Xenopus tropicalis: one gene and its partners. The protein of the gene in region 3 interacts with the protein of the main gene of each other region in a pairwise test. Links are inferred from orthologs where the notes say so. Each region holds a gene or a part of one and is shown on either strand. Other genes may lie near its edges.

What was found.
Region 1: the proteins of ube2i (region 3) and hipk2 interact in a two-hybrid assay, tested with the Homo sapiens proteins (5 studies listed by BioGRID and IntAct). The link is inferred for Xenopus tropicalis from reciprocal best matches to the Homo sapiens genes UBE2I and HIPK2.
Region 2: the proteins of ube2i (region 3) and tfap2a interact in binary tests that used the Homo sapiens proteins (3 or more experiments, as listed by UniProt). The link is inferred for Xenopus tropicalis from reciprocal best matches to the Homo sapiens genes UBE2I and TFAP2A.

Annotation. Positions count from the first base shown.
Region 1 is NC_030679.2:7,953,461-7,957,114, forward strand, and holds part of hipk2 (homeodomain-interacting protein kinase 2), read right to left. Parts: intron 2,339-3,654; 5' UTR 2,337-2,338; coding exon 1,270-2,336; intron 1-1,269.
Region 2 is NC_030682.2:90,360,120-90,363,873, reverse strand, and holds the start of tfap2a (transcription factor AP-2-alpha), read left to right. Parts: upstream 1-1,153; 5' UTR 1,154-1,223; coding exon of another isoform or gene 1,224-1,229; coding exon 1,230-1,274; intron 1,275-2,085; exon of another isoform or gene 2,086-2,918; coding exon of another isoform or gene 2,919-3,074; intron 3,075-3,105; exon of another isoform or gene 3,106-3,754.
Region 3 is NC_030685.2:28,773,880-28,777,633, forward strand, and holds part of ube2i (SUMO-conjugating enzyme UBC9), read right to left. Parts: intron 2,360-3,754; coding exon 2,250-2,359; intron 2,159-2,249; coding exon 2,079-2,158; intron 892-2,078; coding exon 828-891; 3' UTR 1-827. UniProt on the Homo sapiens protein: Accepts the ubiquitin-like proteins SUMO1, SUMO2, SUMO3, SUMO4 and SUMO1P1/SUMO5 from the UBLE1A-UBLE1B E1 complex and catalyzes their covalent attachment to other proteins with the help of an E3 ligase such as RANBP2, CBX4 and ZNF451.

The DNA of each region.
Region 1 (3,654 bases), on a different chromosome or scaffold from region 3:
AAGATGCCATCAGAGTGTTTTGATCCTACCCACAAGTTCCAGACTTCCTGCCCCCCCCCTCTGTTAACTGTTTTAGTTTGACCCAGTATCAGACTAGGGCACCTGGGGCCCATCAAATTACCCGATTTCAAGGGCTCCCCTGCCCAAAGCACAACAGGTATTGGGAGTGGCCGGGGCCTTCCTGCGCCAATGGAAAGGTATCCGGGAACCCGGGGGGGGGCAATAATTTATGTAGGTGGATCAGGTGAGGAATGGGTAAATAAAGGCCAAGTGTAGGGCATTGTGGGTTGGCTGAGGGAGGGGGTAGGTACAGAAATGGCCTGGCCAGAGGTGAAACAATGCTTAATTTGTATAAGGCAACTCTACAACTTGCAGTGGGTGGAAGAAGGGTCTCACTGGCCCACTCTGATACCGGGAAATATCACAGTGGGTTCTAGGCCTGGTGTCCATTTTGGACATATAGTTTAACTGTTCCCCACTGGCCAGGCCATTTCTGTACCTACCCCCTCCCTCAGCCAACCCACAATGCCCTACACTTGGCCTTTATTCACCCATTCCTCACCTGATCCACCTACATAAATCATTGCCCCCCCCCCCCATCCCATCAAAGTGTTCCATTCCCACCCTCTGCGTGAGTTAAAGACTTCCTGACCCTACAGAGTCCACAATATATGGCTTTATGGGTAAAAATTCAATATATACTCGAGTATAAGCCTAGTTTTTCAGCACCCAAAATGTGCTGAAAAAAAGTCACCCTCGGTTTATACTCGAGTCGGGTGCCGTGGGTCCCTCCAGATGAAAATTCATCTTCATCTACCATCCTCACCTTTCCCATTTTGCACTTTATATTCTATATAAACTATATATAGTTTTGAAGGATTTTAACTCTTTGTGTTTTAGCTTGGTTGCTGATTGAGCTAAGGGGGTAGTACTCTTAAGTTATCATTGTTGATACCATATTGTTTTTGTTGACCCTCTTCTCCACTTACAGAGCTAGTTTACTGTTTTTCTTTGAAATAAATATTGAAAAACATATACCCCACTGATGCCTCAATTAATGTCATTTTATTGGTATTTATTTTGATTATTAAAACTTAGCAGTAGCGGCTGCATGTCCCACCCTAGGCTTATACTCGAGTCAATATGTTTTTCCAGTTTTCTTTGGTAAAATTAGGTACCTCGGCTTATACTCGGATCGGCTTATACTCGAGTATATATGGTACATGATAAACTATACCTTAAGACCAGGTATCTCTTTAGGCAACTTACCTATAATATCTGGACTGTAGGTAGGTGGAGCAGACCGCTTTTGACACATGGCTCGCAGAACCAAAATCTATAACCTTGACCCTGTATGGCTGCCGGGAAGGATCCACCAGCATGATGTTCTCCGGCTTCAAGTCGGCGTGAATAAGCCCCAGACTTTTCAGTTTCATCAGAGCAGTTCCCACCTGCTGCAGCACCGGCCGGATATACTTGAGGGGCAACGGGCTGAATTTGTTCTGCTTCAGGAAGTCATAGAGGTTCTGCTCCAGCATCTCAAAGACCAGGCAGGTGTGGTTCTTGTGCTGGAAACACTCGTAGGCTCTCACAAAGTTGTAGTCGTCGGCGCTTTCCGTGCTGAGCCTGGCTAAGATGCTCACTTCGATCTGGCCTTGCCTGGCGTAGGACGGGTGGTTCTTCAGGATCTTGATGGCCACAATCTCGTTGGTTCCCCTCTTCCAGCATTTCACCACTTGACCAAAGGTTCCTCTGCCCAGGAACTCCAGCACCTCATATGTGTTAGTCATAGAGCAGAGGACTTCGTGTTGCACCAGCTGGTAATCCCCTTCGCTGTTGGAGCCACTATTCTTGGAGGTGGCGGTGGAGGTGGTAGCCGCAGTGGCCCCGCTAGCATTGTTCTGGGTGACGGGGGGATGCTCGTCCACGATCTGTACACTGCTGTTATTTTCCAGCTCTTCACACTTCCTCTTCAACCCGCACTTCTGGTAGGTATCCAGAAGGCTGACCGTGCTGCGCCGCATCAGGTTAGTTTGAGGGCCGCCTAGTGCTTGCCCCGTCGCCGCTGAGGAACCGTTACTGGACGAGGTTACCACAATGTGGCCCGCGCTGGTGGGAAAGATGACCGTCTGCTCGTAGGATTGGAGGAGGGAGGCGTGGCTGAGCACCGGCTGGCCAGACGTGGAGCTGTTCTTGCCCGAGTTATAGACCTTGCTGTGGCAACCGTAACCAGTCATATCCCAGCCCGGGCTCAGTTCAAGCTTCGGCTTCTTCACCTTACAAAAGGTCCTCAATGGGAGGCCGTGAGAGGAAAATATCTGCAAATGAGAGGCCATACCTGCAGAGAGAGAGAGAGACCCACAATTAGACGTACACTGGGGGCAAAAGGCACTTACACGGAAGGATAAATATTACAACTGGGGGTAAATACTTAATAACCAAATCTATGTTTTTATCTTCTTATAAAGTCACAATTCTGTGTTTAGACCCATCCATAAACCCTACTAGATCCTTACATAGAAGCACCTACATGGATCCTATGTGGTTCCTGGTTAGACCCATCCATAAGCCCAACTAGATCCTTACATAGAAGCACCTACATGGCTCCTATGTGGTTCCTGGTTAGACCCATCCATAAGCCCAACTAGATCCTTACATAGAAGCACCTACATGGCTCCTATGTGGTTCCTGGTTAGACCCATCCATAAGCCCAACTAGATCCTTACATATAAGCACCTACATGGCTTCTATGTGGTTCCTGGTTAGACCCATCCATAATACCAACTAGATCCTTACATAGAAGCACCTACATGGCTCCTATGTGGTTCCTGGTTAGACCCATCCATAAGCCCAACTAGATCCTTACATATAAGCACCTACATGGCTCCTATGTGGTTCCTGGTTAGACCCATCCATAAGCCCAACTAGATCCTTTCATAGAAGCACCTACATGGCTCCTATGTGGTTCCTGGTTAGACCCATCCATAATACCAACTAGATCCTTACATAGAAGCACCTACATGGCTCCTATGTGGATCCTGGTTAGACCCATCCATAAGCCCAACTAGATCCTTACATAGAAGAACTTACATGGCTCCTATGTGGTTCCTGGTTAGATCCATTAATGTGGTTCCTGGTTGCAAAAAAGTAGCTGCAACTAGTAGCCCAGTGTGTCTTCACCTTAAGGGTGAAGACACACGGAGCTACTAGTAGCAGCTACTTGTTGCGGCTATTAAAATGCTGATCATTTACTGACAATGACAATGCTGATCATTTACTGATAACTGTTTCTACGTGTGTTTTAGGAGAGGCAATTCTCAGTATGGAAAGGTATTTTCTGAAGTTTAGTAGCTGCAAAAAAGTAGCTGCTACTAGTAGCCTTGTGTGTCTTCACCCTAAGGGTGAAGACACAGAGAGCTACCAGTAGCAGCTACTAAAACAGACAATGTTGATCATTTACTGATGGGTTTTAGCAGAGGCTAGTGCTGGGCGGTATACCGGTTTAACCGGTATACCGGTTTTTTAAAAAAAAAAACGATATGGTTTTTTTGGGGCCACCAATATTTATTATTTATTTTTTATTTATATACCGTCAAATACCGTGATACCGATATAATTTTGAAAAATACCGTGATATAAATTTTTGGTCATACC
Region 2 (3,754 bases), on a different chromosome or scaffold from region 3:
TCTGGGGGCTTAGTGTTAAGGGGTCGCTCCCACCCTCTCTCCCCTCTAAACTTTAATGTTTGATCCTCGGGTGAATATTCACATTCAATTAGCTGGGCGGTCATGGTAATCGTGCCGATGGGGCCTGGGTCTGTCTGGCCTCCCTGCATGGCGCTGGCTGGAGATGGACCCTTTTCAAGTTGCCAGTCAATCTGCATAGGCTGGGGAATAAGGCTGAGCTCAATTTCAACCTGAATGAGAGAAAAAACAACTATTTATACAAGACTAAAGCGAGAACACAATGAAGGAACCTTAGTCTTGTTTTGTAGATACTTCTAAAATCATCATGACATTGGCTTTAGACCCCAGTAGTGGCTCCAGACACCTTCTTTAGTCAGATGGCTATTCTCATCTCATTTACCACCACCCAGGGTTTTATCATTATACCCACTGTGCCCCTATGAGCTAAGCTAGAGACTACATACTGACATACCGAGAGAAGAGACAAGAAGCACATTATCTGCTTTGATAATTACACCAGACAAATCTCGTCTCCCTAATAACCCATTGCAGCCCAGAATAGGCCACTCATTCTCCCAGTGTAATGTGATTTAGTACAATTAGCTCTGCTCCCACAACCTAGTGTCAGAATGAAACTCATCTCATTAGATTCAACATCATTTCCTCATCTCCCTTCAATTAAAAGGTTCTCTGAGTGCTACATCTAGAAATTAGTGGGGGATATATTTTTTATTATGCAGGTTATAACCCTGAAATAATTGCCAAGTGGCATAAATCATGTATACAGTGCCATTCTTTTTTTCTATGGTATCTGTGTGCAAAAACAGAAATAGAACTGATGAACAGCAACACATGGAAAGGAATAAAATGTAACGGCCTTGGCAAATATGAAATCTATTGATGATTTGTGCGAAAAACATGGATATTTTCTGTATGGAAAGGAATGTATATATTGTTATAGGGACTGATATTGGGGCTATGGGATCCCAAAGTGCTCCCCTTATGCTGACTGGGAGGCTGGGAGCAGTGGGGCAGTTGCCTGTATGCTAATGAGCACATCAGGACTTGGTACTGGGAAAAAAAGAAACTTTCCACCATTAGAGGGAGATCTGAGTGCACCAAAAGCATCGCTCCAGCCTCCCTCTCTGTAAGGCACACACAGGGACTGCTGCACACAGGACCAGGGACAAGGAAGAACTGGAAAGGTCTCTTCCCAGCCACCCATGAAAATGCTCTGGAAACTAACGGATAATATCAAATATGAGGAGTGTGAGGTAAGGGCCCTGCAGCACTTTTTCTAACAGTTATATGTCCCCCTCCGATCTCTACCTTGTGTGTGTACAGAGTTATTCTGTAAGGTCTGCCGGAGTTTAAAGTACCTGACTCTCTGAGCCCTTTTACTTGTCGGACAGGAACCTTGCACTGCCCTGTAAATATGGCTCAGATTCAGAAATACGTATTTATATACACACTCCCAAACTTGTCTCTCTAATATTACTTTTTATTCATTCAACAACATTGTATATGCTTTTGTTCCCTATGGATAATATGTTGACAAATGAACAAATTATTTAGTTATTGATATAGTTGTGATTTTTTTATACACTAGTTATTTATATCACTATATATATATATATATAGTGTATATAGTAAGTATATATGTATATCCCCCAATTTTCTAAACAGGTAGGGTCGGATTTGTAGCTTTCCAAGGAACGCAGAGTGCAGGGCAAATAGTGCAAAGTGTGTGAGTGACGGATGTGAGTTCAGCATTGGAGCTCACCTGAGAGAGACCCTGATACAGAGGACATGTTGGTGGGGGCTGCCACTGAGCATGGATCACTGTCTTGTTAGGACTTGCAGGCAGCGGCACTGAGTCGCACTCACACCAGACAAATTTGCTAGCATTACCCAAGCGGTTGGTTAAAACACTAAACACAAACACAAGTATATATATATATATATCTAGTGTGTGCTTCATTGTACCTTCATTTTATTTTTATCTGTATTTTTAGGAGACTAAATTAAGCGCAGTTATACATGAAGCTGCCACAATGCAGCAGGGGCACAGCACTGAGATTTCTGATGTTTTACCTGGACTGAAAGCTGAATATTTTGAAAGGCTCTGGTGTCTCAGGTAAAGGATCAGACAGGAGGGAGAGGGCAGAACAGGGTCCCTGTGCATTAGGCAAAGGCTCTTGTAATCTCCCTTTCAGCGCCTGCTTGAAGCCTTATTTTGTTAGCTGTGCATATTTGTACAGGGACATGCAGGCGGTAGGTGGCTCTTGTTGTTCTAACCCCAGCCAGCCAGGAGTTGTGTATAGTTGAACATGACATATTTTGGAGGAGTTGTTTGCTGGAGTGGTAGAGCCAGTCTGACGGGTTTCGAGTGGGAGACTAGGAGAGCCGGGGACGGGCGGAAGGGAGGCAGATTCGGAGCCGGGCAGAACCGAGCCGCGCTGGACTCAGCTCACCCCCTCACTATTGCGGACTGGGGCAGAACCGTTGCCGCTGCGCTGTGCGAACTATAGCATCTACTTCCCAGGCAAAGCGCCCTATCTGCACCCTGGATCTGCCAACGGGGACAGGAAATCAGAGCTAAACAAAAAGAAGAGAGTTGCCCTGCTCCCTTCCGGGCCCTGCATGCTCCCACAAGCACAGCAGCAAGGGTGGATTTCTCTTTTGTCTCACACTGAGCTACAGGGCTTTGCTGGGCTGAGGAAGGAGCCCTGTCTCACATGTTTAGCCCCAAGCAGCGCAGTGGTACAGGTTATTCGTGTACGAACTAAGGACACAGGTTAAGAGCTGCTGAGATCTGGGGCAGGAGGACATACAGAGAGCTGCCGGGCAGAATTTTGGAGGCTGCCATTTTAAGCTGGTTCTGTTCTGTGGCACTTGTGGTTGCAGCCCATAGGGCTATGGATCAGTCACAGAGGGCAGGAGATTCGGGCCCCTCAGATACAGACATGAAAAGCAAAGGGTTGAACTCCACAGAGAACATTCCCGTCCCCAGCAGCAAGAGAAGGACCTCAGACATGGACATGTCATTTCCAGGATATTCCCAGGATTCCCAGGTGCCAAATCCTTTTATCTGCCCCTCACCCCCCTTGCCTGTCACTGCTGATCCCCATACTCTGGAGCTGTTTCCCTTTTGCATGCCCTGCAACCTTTAAAATGTCCCCCCCTTCCTTGTGATTCGTCAGCCAGCCCCCCTCTCTCCCTCACTCTCTGAGTCTCTCCCTCCTCTTCCTCCCCCTCCACCTCTGATTAGATACACTGCCTCTTCATTCAATGGACGTCATTTAGAACAGGGCTCTGCCTTGAGTTGCCTCTTCGGTTCACGCTCGATTTCCAAGCATTCTTCCTTTATTAAGTATCGGTGTAATATTAATAGTCATGAATATGAGGGCTGCAAGGCTGGCAGCCTGCGCCTGTTAGTAGGAAAAGCCTGCGGAGCTGCATCCAGGAACAGTGTCTAGGGGACAAGGATTAAGGAAACCCAGAAATCCAAACTTTGCCTAAAACATCCCTCCCTGAATAGCAATTGTGCTCTCAACCCAAAATGAAGAAGAATTTCCTCCACATCTGATGGATTATATATGCTTATTATGCCTACAGAGCCTTGGTCCTTATGATTTTGTAGGGACCAGTTTCTAGAGCTGGGATTTTATTTTCATTTTTTTTCCACTTCTCTAAATTTTTTTTTTCACATTTCTTCTTTGATCAACGTTTTCTTTCTGATTTCTCTTCTTCA
Region 3 (3,754 bases):
CCAACTACATCAAGATGCCAGGGCTACAATCGTTTTGCTCATCCTTTTCACGGCGCAGCAAGAATAGAACAGTTATAAAAAGTTCTTTTATATATATATATATGTACAGATTTCACACAAAAAATAAAAATGTCACAATGTCAGTTTACAAGCCTGAACACTTCTGCTTTGTGGTCCTCTTAATGAAAAAGATAAAGAAACAAAAACTTTATATAAACAGTTTATTTAATCTAAACAGCAACACAGACAAAACGCCATATAAACAAAGGAAGTGATGCAGAAGCAAGATGCTGACTGACATTGAATCTCTGAGGCTCTAGGTTGAGGTGCAACCTAGTTTCTTAAAGACGTAAAAAGAAATTTGGGGTAGGGGAGGGGGTGGAATTTATGACATTGTTCTTAATACAGCCAGCTAGAGGCTAGATATAGTTCTAAACATTTGAAAGCATGCCTGCATCAGATAGCAAAGGAAAACTAGAGATTACTAGTGAATTTATAGAAGTATAAAAGTTTTATCATTTTACAGCAGTTGAAATACTGACATCAATATTAAAATAAAAGCAAGTTTTACATCATAACAATCAAAATACAAAAAGACTGAAGGAAGAGACCCTGTATGAAAAAACTGGGGGGGATATTCAGCAAATTTAGAACTCTATACAAGTGGCGGAAATGGAAAATGGCACACATACGACCCCCTCCCCTAAGTGAGAGTTTCAATTCTATTTAGCATCATTCAATTTTTGCAAAAAAAATTGTTTTTTTGTAAACAAGTTCTTGCCAAACCAATCCCTTCCTTTTATTTTAAGATGCTGCAAGGTTGAAGTTTATGATGGCGCGAACTTCTTGGCTTGTGCTCTGACTCTTTTTTCATATTCAACTCTGTTTTGGCTGTGGGAGGGAGATAAAAAAAAAAAAAAAGAATCAAGACAAATTTCCCAGGCTATACTCTACCTGGTCACCCATATGCCCTACCCTTAAACTAAATCCCTTTGTTCAGTCAATTTAATGACTTGCCCAACTTTGCCTGCACATTCTGTGAGTTGCCATCCATGGAAGCCTGTCTATACAGGGTATCAGAAAATGTCCTCTGTGAGGTGGAGTCCATCTTTGGCTTCCTGACAGGTCATGTCCCAAACCTCATGTCCCCCTGAATATACAGTATATTATACATACACACACACACACACACACACACACACACACACACACACACAAGTATGTGAGGTAATAAATAAAATACCCATTGTAAAATATGAGGATATCATAAGTCCCTTCTGAGTTCCATTGGACCTATGGGGGGGGGGGGGGGGGGCTATACCTGGGCCTCTGTGTACTTTAAAGGAAATGTCAACCCTAAAGATATTTTTTTTTCATAATAAAAGAAAAAACATAATTCTAAGCAACTTTCCAATAACAATGTATTAAAAAATATCAGTGCTTTAAATGGTTTTTTTGTAAATGTAATTGCTACAGAAAGCAGCATTTGCTGAACTCCCGGTTGTTACTTTTTAAACAATGTTGCGAGTGCCAGGCTCCTCCAGCAAGACAGGTCTGTAAAATCTGCTGCCGTTTGTTACATTGTTTTAAACACCAGAGCCACCAGGGAATAGAAAAGCACTGACCAACACTACTTCTAATAGCAGCTATATATACAAATAACTCAAAAACCATTACAAATATGTAATGAATGTATATTTCAAAGTTACTTAGAATTAAGTTTTCCTTTATTAGGCAAAACATTTTTGGGGTTGACATGTCCTTCAAATGCCAGGGCCTATTTTGAATCCTTGCCCAGACCTGGTGTCAGCTTAGGTAGGACTAAAATGGCAAGCTTGATAAGCCTGGGTGAACAAAGCTACTGGAAAAAAAAACTCAGTTCTCAATATTAGAGTAGTGAAATACAATGTGAATGCAAAAAAATTATAGCAGCCCTTTAAATGTCAAATAGACAGTATTAAAGCTAGCATCAAGTACAGTGATTTGTTTGCCTGTAAAGGGTAACATTACTACAGAAGAGGGGACATATACACAGCCCCTATCCCAGCCAGAAAAATGCCCCATACATAAACACTAACCAGTAAATTGTGTATGCCTCTGCTTGAGCTGGATCTTGTATATTTGGTTCATTTAGAAGTTCTTGTATTCCTAACAAGATCTTTATATAGAAAAAAAAAAGAGAAAGTTAATTGCAGAACACAAACTGTTCAGTATTATACAGAAGGACAGGAATCTGCACTTTATGATACCTGTTTAATTGTGATTGCTGGCCTCCAATCCTTATCTTCTTCTAAGATAGACAGACACACTGTGCCTGAAGGATAGACATTCGGGTGAAAAAGGGGTGGCTCAAATTTACCTGTGGAAAATGCAAGAAATCAGCATAGCACTGCCAACTGTACTGCAGAATAACAGGGCTTCTTTAACCACAAAGGCATTGGAAAGCAAGGCTCTAATTGCTTAGGGAAGGATCAGGCAAAAATCAACTGACACTGTTCTGGAGTGGGTGCATAGTGGAGTAGTGGGTTCTCCAGGTTATTGTAACCCTTACTGGTGGGATTAATATTGCTCAGTGCCGGCCAGTCCCACTCCCATCTAAACAAACTCATTCAGTATGGCCCTTTGTGCATAGCAGCATTATTGTGCTGAAACAAAAGTCAGCCCTACCGTTGGCATATATGATTTAAGCTGGTTGTCTCCTCCTGGTATCTGCCATATTTGGACTTTCCCCATCAGACTGCCAGCTGGTGAAACGCCATCTCTTACTTCAGCAGATCTGGGAGCTATATGCCACTAGCTGGCACTTGGCACTGCACACAGATGTTAGGTTTGTTTCCCTCTGATTAGCCACACAATAGTCAGCATGGGTCCTGAGCTTCATCTAAAGCACACACCTTCACAAAGTTAGGCAGAGAGGCCATTTACTAGATATGTTCTTTATGAAGCAAGCCTATACATATTGGCACAAGGAGCTATTTGAGCACCATATTGCATCCCTATTAAATAGCGAAATTCCAGAGAAGGGCAATTAAGCACATATAGGGTATGTAAAGACTCCGTTATGTGGAAAGACTGGCCAAGGTGCAAATAGAAGTCCTTAAGGGGGAATATGAGAACTATGTATGAATATATAAGGGCACTATAATCTCTCGAATGCTTTATTTACCAGTAGATCCTTCCATCTATATATACTATATATACTGGAAAAACTTATTGACTCGAGTATAAGCCGAGGGAAATGCAGCCACTACTGCAAGTTGGAGTGATATCACCCCCCTCCCAGCAGCCAATTAGCAGAACAATGTGAAGCATCAAGATAGCAGCTCCCACTATATATCAGAATAGCACTAAATAGTGAGAAATCCAAGTCCAGCTTGGGACTCCTCCAATTACATGGGAGTAGGAGAAACAATAGGTTAGCTGAAAGCAGTTCTAATGTGTAGCGCTGGCTCCTTCTGAAACCTCAGACTCAGCTCCCTTTGTTTGGCAAACCTTCACTCCTGTGTTAGTGCCTCATAAAATTCTGACTTCACTGTAGGCTAGTATTGAGTCCCAATGGGCTTTTTTTGCCATCCCAGATTACTGCCCGCTCACTGCCACCTGAGGCAAGGTTCTTACTTTGCCTTATGGCAAGAGCGGCCCTGACCTTAAGGCAATGGTATGTTTCAACAACTCAGTTCAAAATTAGCTCAGAAATCTTCTGCACCTCTGAATATACATCCACACACAGTGACAGAAGGAAATAGCACTTAAC